Mus musculus: one gene and its partner. The main gene of each other region encodes a partner of the protein of the gene in region 2 in a complex. Links are inferred from orthologs where the notes say so. Each region holds a gene or a part of one and is shown on either strand. Other genes may lie near its edges.

Region 1 (5,779 bases), on a different chromosome or scaffold from region 2:
CATATATGAATGTGGTATACATACATATATGTAGACACTCACATATAAGAATGAGGTAAAAATAGACAAACCTTTAACAAATAAACACTTTATAGGAATTCTACAATTATAGGTAATCTAAGATAATACTGACATAAATACAGTATAAAGTGACCTTGGACTTCTGATCCTTCTGCCTTGAACTCCTAAGTAAGGAATTTCATGATACTACTATGCCTGGCTCTCTTTTCTTTAGAAAGAAAAAAAAAGGTCTATATATTGCCACACTGGTTAACTAATCAAAATGTATAAAATCAACTCACTATCTGGTCACTTTATACTTCATTTTAGGATGGAAAAAAATGTCAAGCACTTTCCCAGGGCTGCCACGTTTAAACTTTCAAGGTTATCTGGTATCCATCAGAAGCACCTGCTCCTGAAGCTGGGACCACTCACACGGTGCGATGTGCCTCTGAGGCTGTGCAATCCAGCAGCCGTGTGTGGCATTGGAGGAAGCCAATGCTAATGCACTATTCTAAAAATGTTGTATGCACCTTCTAGACTTACCAGAAGTTTGAGCAGCCAAAATCTGGATTTATAGTAGAAAGTTTTGGTGGGGTTGATAAGAAAGAAGACCATAAACCCATAAAGGGCTAGTGGATACACATATATAGGGATGATACTAATTGGAGCGAAGAAGCATGCCAGAAGGCTCAGGCACCACAAGATCCCCAGGAATCCAGCAATCTATAAAGTACAAGGAACACAAAAGAGAGAAAGTTACTTCTTATCATTACACAGAATAATCTTTAATAAACAAAAATAAGAAAAAACGATGAACAATCCAACAATCCTCAAATGGGAGATGGACTTGAGCAGGCATCAGATCGGCCACTCAGAGTGGAGTACACTCATGAGACTCCCAGTGAGTCGGCCATTCACTTAGTGAGGACACACTCACAAGACTGTGCTTCATTACCTCAAAGAGATGCTGATGAGACAAATTGTTTCTTGGATTAAGTTCAAAGATGAGGACATGATTTACTCCAGCTTGTCTCCAACCATATGTGTTGATGCCCAGTAGAAAAAGGAATTCAATCAGAAGAAAGCCACCCCGATAGATTCTTATCAAGGGCCATACAGTTCTATCTGTTTCAAGTTTAAATACAGCTGAAAGAAAATATAATGGTTAGTTATGAAATCTACAATGTTCCCTTTAATTATCTTTTCTCTTCATTCTCTGAGACACAGCCCTATACTGGACGTTGCTACAGAGACAATCTGCATCTAGATTATCTTAGGAGTCTTGCCCCGAGGTGCTTTTTCTGCCTCTCTGCTCTGAAAAGTGCAATTAGAACAAGTTCTCTCAAAGCTTTTTTTATCATGTTATCCCATTGATCTATAAGTTTTTAATTTTGTTTTGTTTTCTAAATTATAGGACAACAGGGTTAAAAGGCTTTGAACAGTAAAACCAGCTTTTGTTTTTGTTTTGAGATGTGCAGTCGTGGCTATTCTAGAACATGCTATGTAGGCCAGGCTGGCCTCAAACTCAGAAATCCTCTTGCTTCTGCCTCCTGTGTGCTGCTGGCATTAAAGATGTGCACCACCATGCCTAGTATAAGACTAGTTTTGTCAATGGGAGCTTCTTGTATGGTACATCCTCTTCAACATTGCTTTCACTGGCTACATTAACTCCTATCTCACAGATTTGTTGCAAAATGAAAAGACACAAAACACAAGAAGACAATGAGAAAATTTAAATGCCATATAAATAAATCATAGTCAACATGTATAGAATGCTTAATAAGGTGAGGACTTAGTCTTATTCCTGGTGCTATTCTATGTAATAGTTAGTCTGAATCAGTATAATTGTTTTGTGAATTTAAATTACTATGTCTATGTTGACTGAGAAAACTGGAGCACAGATAGGTTGCGTAATTTGCTCTGGATTATTGATGTATATGTAAATGTAGCCTTTGGTTGGCCTGGCCTTGAACTTGAAGGAGCCCACTTGCCTCTACCACCACACCTTTATAACTGCAATCTTTATAACTTTGTACAAAGCTGGTGCTCTCAAGTACTGTGTTGCTCACATGCCCATTCCAACACTCAGTACCATCTCTACTCTACAGCTTTCTTAGAGTTATGATGTTCAAATCCTTCAGCTCTGAGATCTCAGCTCTTACTAATTTGCAACTTACTTTTCCCAACCCCATCCTACAACACTCCCAGTAACCGGCATGATACATCACATTTTTATAAAAGTGAGTTTCCCCAGCACCTACTGTGTTTCTTTCATTTCATCTCTACCAAGTTATACTTACTTAATTTAAACAACCATTTATTATTTATAAAAATATTTAATAACTTAAAAGCAACAGGGTAGAGAAAGTGCTTGCTTTGCAATCAAACATATAAACCAGATATCAAATCTTAGTAGGATAAATTATTTAATTTAGAGAGCCAGCAGAGTCAAGATTAGTTAAAAAATTAGAAAAGTAGAAAAACACATTTGTAGCTTTATATTATGAATCCTAAGACACCAGATATATTACAAAATATAGATGATTCCAAAGAATCCACAATAAACCTGTGAGAGTTAGTAGCTTCAGCAAAGTTGCAGAACACAAAGTCAATCAACACACAAAATTCAGTGGTGTGTGTGTATTATATATATATATATATATATATATATATATATATATATAAAAGCAATAAGCAATCTGAAAATAAAATTAGGAAAGCAATTTTAATTATAACAGTATCTAAAAGAATTAAACATTTAAGCTGGGCAGTGTTGGCGCATGCCTTTAATCCCAGCACTTGGGAGGCAGAGGCAGGTGGATTTCTGAGTTTGAGGCCAGCCTAGTCTACAGAGTGAGTTCCAGGACAGCCAGGGCTACACAGGGAAACCGTGCCTTGAAAAAAACAAAACAAAACAATTAAACATTTAGTAGTAATTTTAACCATGGAGGTCAAAGGCTCACATGTCAAGAGTAAGAAAACATTTAGGAACTAAAGTAGACTGAAGTATATAGAAAGAAATGCCACGGTTGCTGACTTGCTGAGACTTGATATTGCTAAGATGGCAGCATATCAATCTACACATTTCATGCAATCCCTATCAGAATTCCAACAGCCATTTTATTTTCAGAAAAAAAACAAAACAAAACAAAACAGAACAGTCAAACCTCAGATTTACATGATAAAAGGTCTCCAATAACCAAAATAGTAATAAAATATTAATAGTTGGAAAATTCATACTCAAGTTTTGAATGTACTATAACAGCACAATAATCAAAACAGTGAACAAGGGTATAAAAATGATTTATACACAAATAGAAAAGGATTGAAAAACCCCAAATAAACCATATATCTATGGCCAACTGACATTCAACAAGTGTACCAACATCCCATCCCGCGGGAAAAACATACTCTTCAGCTAGTGCCAGGACAACTAGGCATTGAAAGAAAGAAAGAAAGAAAGAAAGAAAGAAAGAAAGAAAGAAAGAAAGAAAGAAAGAAAGAAAGAAAGAAAGAAAGAAAGGAAGGAAGGAAGGAAGGAAGGAAGGAAGGAAGGAAGGAAGGAAGGAAGGAAGGAAGGAAGGAAGGAAGGAAGAGAGAAGAGAAGAGAAGAGAAGAGAAGAGAAGAGAAGAGAAGAGAAGAGAAGAGAAGAGAAGAGAAGAGAAGAGAAGAGAAGAGAAGAGAAGAGAAGAGAATTTTCTAATTTCTACAATACAGACAAAAATTATTTTCTTTTTTCTTCGAGACAGGGTTTCTCTGTGTAGCCTTGGCTGTCCTGGAACTCACTCTGTAGACCAGGCTGGCCTTGAACTCAGAAATCCACCTGCCTCTGCCTCCCGAGTGCTGGGAGTAAAGGCATGTGCCACCATGCCCAGCCAAAAATTATTTCAAAACTGAGAATAAGCTGGGCATGGCAGCACGTGACTTTAATCTCAACACTTGGAAGGCAGAGGTAGAACACCAGCCTGGTCCACAGAGTGAGCTCAAGGCCAGCCTGATGAGATCTTTTTTAAAAGACCTTAACACATGAACTAAAACTATTAAATATTCGTTGTGAAAAAAAAAAAGATAAATCAGCACAATGTAGTATTTGGCTGTGTGTGTGTTTATGTATTTACATATGTGTGTGTGTGTGTGTGTGTGTGTGTGTGTAAATAAATATAAAAAAGAAAAAATCAGATAATTTGAACAAAAAATTCTTAAGAATGAAAGAAAAATTCTTCTGGGGGACTGGAGAGATGGCTCAGCAGTTAAGAGCACTGACTGCTCTTCCAGAGGTCCTGAGTGCAATTCCCAGCAACCACATGGTGGCTTACAACCATCTGTAATGGGTTCTGATGCCCTCTTCTGGTGTGTCTGAAGAGAGCAACAGTGTACTCACATATATAAAATAAATAAATCTTTAAAAAAATTCTTCTAGTTTCAGACAAAAGCAAATGTGGGCAAAAGATTTAGTCATCCAAAGAATACATAAATGACTAACAAGCCTAGGAGAAATTGAAATGATTAGTTATTAGGAAAATGCAAATTAAAAGAATAACAAAATACCTGACATCCACTTGGATGGATTTAACAGAACCCTCATACATTACTGATAGAAATGGAAAGTGGTATAACCGCTATAGAAAACAATAAGGTATTTGTCTATAAAGCTAAACATGCCCCGAGCCTACACACCTGAGTTCCAATTCTGGCCCCAATAAGAGGAAAGAACTCACTGGGCTAAGTCACCATACAGGTGTTTTCTGACCACTATCTGTGAGCCACAGCGAGCACATGCCCATGTCCCCCAGTATAATAATATAAACAAACGAACAAATAAAAAATGTTAACTTAGAAGAAGCAAAATATTTATGAATGGATGAATGGATAAACAAACTGTGTGTGAATGACGTATTGAATAATGCCACAACATGAATGGATGTTGAAAACATGCTAAGTGAAGAAGTCATATACAAATACATATATACATGTTCACAATGAAGATTTCAGTTACATGAACCATTTAGAATAGGTACATCCCTAGAGTAGAAATAAGACAGTAGTTGTCAACAGCTGGAGCAATAGAAATCTGTGACTGAGCTTCCCTTTAGGATGATAAAATGTTTAGGTAGACTGTGCAGCAATGCTGAGTGCTTATAGTGAAATAGTTCATTTTGAGGTCAAGGAAATGGTTTAGTGTAAGCAAGCATGAGGAAGTGAGTTTGCACCATATAAAAGCAGGCATGGTCCTAGCTGCTTATAACTTAGTGCTGCACCATGGAGCCAGGTGAGCCTGGCCTGCTCACTAACCAGCAGTCTAGCAAAATGACTAGCTTCAAGTTCAGAGAGCAACCTGGCCTAAGGGAATAAAGCAGAGAATAAGAAAGACACCTGTCATCCTCTTCTGGCCTTTGTATATGCTACATGCTGGGTATACCTATACACATGCATACAACACACACATATATGCACAGAGAAAGAATGTTAATCTATGCAATTCTTCTGTGAAGCTTAAATGTTTAAACGGTTTACCACTCACAGATTTGCTGTAACATTCCACAATTATCTGTCTAGTTAACATCTATGGTCATAGTTTTAGGATACAAATATTTATGATCCATATTTCTACATATGAAGAAAATTGTCATGAACAAGAAAATATAATGCATAGTCATGAAATATATATATATATACATATATATATATATACACACACATACATACATACACATATACTTAGAAAGACTATGTTCTACTTGAACATACAAAATAAACAAAATACTTCTAATTAAT
Region 2 (5,779 bases):
CAAGTGTGTCTATGACTGCTCTCATGCTAATTAGCCTTAACATACAGAAGAGCAGCGTCCACACAAAGAATTCAGTCATAGCAATAAGCTCCTTTTTGGGGAATGGGGCAGGCTTGGGAGGTTCGAGACAGGGTTTCTCTGTTTAGCTCTGGCTGACCTAGAGTTCACTCTGTAGACCAAGCTTGCCTTGAACCTGATCAAAGATATGCCTGTCTCTGCCTCCAGAGTGTTGAGATTAAAGATGTGGGCCACCACTGCCTAGCTAATAGTCTCCATTGTATTACAAATATTTTTATTCAAATTATCATAGAAAAACTGAAATAATATGGCAGTATATAAAAATCTGAATTTCAGCACAAATATTAATGTGCTCAGTTATATAAATTATATAAATTTAGCCTAAATATAAAGTAAAAGAACTTTAAAATGATGAACTTTTAAGATAAATTCCCAAGTGATATCAGATTGTCAAGTACTATTACAAAAAAGTTACTACTATCATCTACCACTACCAACACAGCTCACACTCAAAGTGCTCTGTTAACGTTAAAACTTATGGTGAGTCTGGGGGTGCAACTCAATAGCACAACATTCACAGAGCTTGCACAAGCCCTGAGTTCAATGCCTACTATCTCAAAACAATATAAACAAAATAAAACTTATTATCTGTCACAGAACTTGAAAAACAAAAGTCACCTGTCACCGAAACAATATTGAGTAACCGTCTCATGGTTTGTGGACTGATGTCACTGAACCAATCCTCAGTAACCAGCAGCTTTGTGAGATCAAAGGACATCTGCCTCGTGATGGTTCTCTGCATCTGCCTTCTGCGGTAAGTATCCTGAAACAACAGCACCAGTGAGAAACACCCATCCTTGAGAGTTAACATGCACGCTTATGGTAAGACCAACAAAACAGACTGCAGAGCCAACTCAGTGGGTAAGAAAAGCAGAATTCACAATATTAACCAAAGAGAAAGATTGCAGGCTAGTCAAGTACAGTCACTTCTGAGGCACTTTCCAGAGCAATGACTCAGTAGAGTTGGCAGGCAGGCATCCCATGTGTTAGAGAAAACGTAATGTCTCAGATAAGAAGTGCACAGAACTCTGTAAAGAAAATCACGGTCAAGCTCCATAAAGCCTCGTACTAGGAGCCATAAAACAATAAAGCAGGTAAGTTCCTTCATGGTTCTAGGGATTCAGCATCTCTATTTTTAGGGTGTTTTAAAGTGTAACACGATTTTATCCCAGGCACAGCCACTCTTAACTTCCCTGGCATTTCCTCAAAGAGTTGAAGGCACCCTGTAGAGTGGGCTGGAGTGGCTAAGGTATCCCACTCCTAAGAGAAGAACACTCCCCCGAGTCCTGACGCATGGGAAAGGTAGATGAAACCATAGGTCCCCAAGAACCTGGGCTGCCAAGAGAGAAATCCAACATGCAGCATCACACACCCCCCTGACCTTGGCGCTATCATTTGTCACTCATATTATCTCTGAATTCATATCCTGCAAAGCATGTGGGCACAAAGCCAAAGACACAAGGTTTAAAAAGTAATGCCCCCCCCCCAAAAAAAAAGCTGGGCGTGGTGGTGCACACCTTTAATCCCAGCACTCAGGAGGTGGATTTCTGAGTTTGAGGCCAGCCTGATCTACAAAGTGAGTTCCAGGACAGCCAGGGCTATACAGAGAAACCCTGTCCCGAAAAACCAAAACCAAAACCAAAACCAAAACAAAACCAAAGTAATGTCCAGATGGTAGCAAACAAGAAAACAGGCAATGCCAGTATGAGCCCACGTCAGCCATCCGTAAGTGACATTATCAGCAAAGCTCCCCTGCCTGTGGACACCTTCCCACTTTACAAGCCTAAATAAATACACCTGGTTTTGCTCTACAAATAAGATGGGTGGACAGAGAGACTGAAGCACTGAACCAGAAACCCAGGGAGACTGGGAAGGGCCCTGAATCACACCTGGGCGTGGAGACTACAATCCAGACCTTGTAAACATTGGGCAAAGAGAAAGAACCTAAAGAGATTAAAAAAAAAAAAAAAAAGTAGGGCCGGCACCTGCTCAGGAACGAACGTGAGGCCACGATCATTTGCTGGCTAGGAAATCTTACTACTTAGGTGCAGAGTCAGCAGTGATCTGGGAAGAGGCTGCGGGGTGGGGGCCTCCTCCCTGATGAAGGTCTTTACCCTCCAGGCAGCTCTGAGGCAGCTGACGCTGAAAGGGAGCTCCGCACCGACCTCAAGAGCTTAGCTTCGTGTTTGCCTTTACAGGAGAACACTAGGCGTTGATTACAGAGAACACTAGGCGTTTACAGAGTACACTAGGCGTTGTTTACAGAGAACACTAGGCATTGTTTACAGAAGAACACTAGGTGCCACAAACTTAATTTTATTTGAATGACTGCTAAAAAAATAAAAATCAGAGTCAGGATATAGCTAAGTGGCAGAATACTTGCCTAGCATGCGGAAGGCTTTGAAAGGCTCAACCCCAACACTCTAAGGAAAATTCAATCACACCATTAAACGGCAGGAATGGCACCTTACCCTTCTGTTGAGGGCCGTTTTGCTACCAAGCTTTGTCATCTCCCCAAGGCTGTTCTGTGAAACTCTTCTGTCAGCATCCTCCTGCACTCCTGGAAGAAAGCATTGGGACAGCACTGTGGTGGTTAAAATGAGTTTCTCCCAGAGCCTCCTGTGTCTGAACACTGGGCCCCACTTGAGGCTGCTGCTTGGGAGGCTTAGGGGATGAGGCTTGCTGCAGGAAGTGTGTCCCTGGAGATGCCTTTTGAGAGTTTGAAGATGTATGCCTTTGTGTTTGCTCTCCGTTTCCTACTTGCAGTGTAAGATGGGAACTCTCAGCTTGCTACTCCAGCCCCACTGCCACGCTTCCCGCCATAACGGTGCTGAATTCTTATCCCTTTGGAGCATAGCTAAATAAACCCCTCCTTCTACAAGCTGCCTTCAAGCTTGAGCACTCTAGGGCTTGATACTTACCTGTTGCTTCTGAGCACGAAATGTCCCCATTTGTTGCTGAAGTTACAAGAAATTTTCTTGCATTGCTAAGCCCACGACTATTAAGGAAAACTGGTAAATGAACTATATTGCGCATATAGTCATGTCCATTTATATTTGAATCACGAAGCACACTATTCAGGTTCTGGTTGATGGCCTTTATAATAATATGTGGATCACTTGCAAAAATGGCAATAAAAGGGCCCTTTGAAAACAGAACTCGGACCTGTGGTAAAAGAAAGGTATGGACGTGATGCGAATTTTTAAATTATACAAGAAATATCTTTTTTAAAATATGTACTATCCTTTGGTGCTATATTTTTAATATCATTCATTTTTTCATCAAAATTTATTCTCTATATATACAACTTTTATAGATGGCTCAATCTTAGATTGCTATCATCTACCCACAGTGACACAACTAACAAAGGGAACTGCTAATGTGGGTTCCTCCCCAGACACCTGCAGCTTACACAGAAGTAAGATCAACACATGGCAATTTCCGGTGAGCACATGTGAGTTCTGCATACTCAGTTAACCACTGTTGTTTATAACAAACCTCAGATCACAGCACTACAAATTCTCCTGGTCCCCTCTGTCCTCTCAGAGGACAAACATGACTGCTGCATACTGAGCCACACTTGTCACTCAGAGATGCTCTCTGTGAGGTTTTGCTGTGTTTTCTTCCTAAAGTGCCATCAGGCTGAAATGACTTAATCGTTCTTGATCAAACATTAACTTTTGCTATAATTCTGAATTTTAAAACATAGTTCTTGTGAGCGAGAGATTCACTAGAGAAAGCAGAGTTTCTTAAATAAGCAGCACAGTTTTCATCCCACTGAGATAGTTTGTGAAGTCATGCATCCCACGTGGCCACAGTGACAAGTGTGGAGACAGCGGAAACGTACAGTGTCCAGCATCTGCAGCACTTTATCTTGCTCACAGGCGTCCAGGCCGTCAATGATAACCACCAGCCTCGTCTGATTCTGCGTGAAGCTGTCGATGGTCTTGGCCATCCTGGCCATCAGCTCCACCTCACACTTCAGGACCTGCACAAGGCACAGAAGACACCAGAAGATAAGGCACATCCCTTTAGAAGCACAAGAGAAATCCATCCAATGGAGGAAAAGAAATCCCTTCAGGGTTTCAGGCATTTAAACCTGTTGTAGGGGTTTCAGTTATGACTGATAGCACTTGATTCTCAGGATGTCATCAAGGGATGCTATGATAGGAATTTACAGACTACAGAAGAGGTTGAGAGACTTACTTGTCAAAACTAAAGACTATGAATGACAAAAACCTTGGACTTGAATTCCACCCAAAACACCTACTGGTGGCTGCACTACTCTTGGCTCCTTGATGGCATCTAGTTTTTAACAAAGTTAAATATATTCAAGCTATAAGGCTTAGTAGTTACAATTCTTGGTATTTACTCCAAACTTAAAACTTACTTACTAAAAACTTACATCTACACAAAAACCTGAGCACAGATACTTATAGCAATTTTATTTATAACTACTAATATTTAAATCAACAAGATATATTTCTGTGGGAAACTGAATAAACGTACACTCTTCTTCCAGGCAACAATATTATTCAGGCCTAAAAAGCAATGCAATTGTAAGCTACAAAAGGGATGAAAGAAACCAATATGACAGGGCTACATGCTACATGGTTGCAACTACATGACATCATGGGAAAGACACAGATACTGAGATAGTGAACTCATCAGGGTCTGACTGGAGCTGGGAGAGACAGAGGCTGAACAGAGGAGGCAGGCACTTTCATGGCAGTAAACATACTGTAATCTTGGGTATGTTATCAAGCATTTGTGCAAACCCAAAGAACACACAGCACTAAGACTGAACCTAATGTAAACTGTGGACACTGAGTCTATGACGAACCAATGCAAGTCCATCAACTGAACAAATATAGCACTCCTTTGACAGGTATTGATAACAGAGGCTGTGCACAAGATACATGGGGTAGCTGGAGAGATGGCTCAGTAGTTAAGAGCACTGACTGCTCTTCCAGAGGTCCTGAGTTTGGACCCCAGCAATCACATGGTAGCTTACAACCATCTGTAATGAGATCTGATGCCCTCTTCTTGTGTGTCTGAAGACAGCTCCAGTGTACTTACATATAATAAATGAATTTATTTTAAAAACTAAAAAAAAAAAAAAAAAGATACATGGGGTATATATGGAGTTTGCTATAAGCCTAACAAACTAATTAAACTAAATTAAATGCAATAGACTTGGAGTCTTAGGGTACTTGCCTGGTATGCACAAGTCCCTACTACTGAGCAAATAAAAACAGAACAACAACAAAACCCTTGAACGTAACTTTTAACATTTCGAGAGCATGCTCAAGTCAGCATGGGGACAGCAGCATATTCCCACTAGTTTATCTAGTGACAAGTTCTTACTTTCATGAATCCTTCACTTTTCAGCTTATGTAATTTGGAGGCAGCACTATGGAGGCGTTTTCTCTGAGAATTCAGGAGAGAGTCCAGCACTTGCCACCATGTTCGACAGTTCAGCACAAAGGCCAACCCCACGATAGATGCAATGGATATGAGGATAGCATTCACTGTCAGATGTTTTGGGTCAACTCGGAATATAGCCAAAAGAGTAATTCCAGCAATAATGCAGCCAACAATAAAAAGAAAGATTATAAAAGACGGGAGACAGCATGTTTTTTTCCATTTCTTTTTACCTGTAATAGAATAAATCGTATTAACAATTATCGTATCACGTACT

The links. Proteins that work in one complex are often made in the same cells at the same time.
Region 1: the proteins of Kidins220 (region 2) and Xpr1 are in contact, whole or in part, in a cryo-EM structure (PDB 9JXQ), measured with the Homo sapiens proteins. The link is inferred for Mus musculus from reciprocal best matches to the Homo sapiens genes KIDINS220 and XPR1. Residues at the interface, in NP_065789.1 of Homo sapiens: Glu36, Cys37, Gln39, Asp70, Trp72, Met102, Trp105, Trp110, Tyr113, Lys114, Val138, Ile142, Trp143, Gly146, Arg147, Ser166, Asp167, Lys168, Tyr169, Gly170, Trp176, Arg179, Lys180, Gln198, Glu199, Gly200, Ala201, Ser203, Lys234, Arg267; in NP_004727.2 of Homo sapiens: Leu95, Lys189, Lys190, Gln193, Glu197, Ala200, Asn204, Glu205, Ala636, Asp637, Asp638, Leu641, Leu642, Gln644, Met645, Met646, Asp647, Gln648, Asp649, Asp650, Val652, Arg653, Asn654, Arg655.

Annotation. Positions count from the first base shown.
Region 1 is NC_000067.6:155,312,213-155,317,991, forward strand, and holds part of Xpr1 (xenotropic and polytropic retrovirus receptor 1), read right to left. Parts: intron 1,150-5,779; coding exon 959-1,149; intron 727-958; coding exon 547-726; intron 1-546. UniProt on the Homo sapiens protein: Inorganic ion transporter that mediates phosphate ion export across plasma membrane.
Region 2 is NC_000078.6:25,008,359-25,014,137, reverse strand, and holds part of Kidins220 (kinase D-interacting substrate of 220 kDa), read right to left. Parts: intron 5,736-5,779; coding exon 5,446-5,735; intron 4,067-5,445; coding exon 3,926-4,066; intron 3,244-3,925; coding exon 3,000-3,243; intron 2,639-2,999; coding exon 2,550-2,638; intron 842-2,549; coding exon 697-841; intron 1-696. UniProt on the Homo sapiens protein: Promotes a prolonged MAP-kinase signaling by neurotrophins through activation of a Rap1-dependent mechanism. Provides a docking site for the CRKL-C3G complex, resulting in Rap1-dependent sustained ERK activation.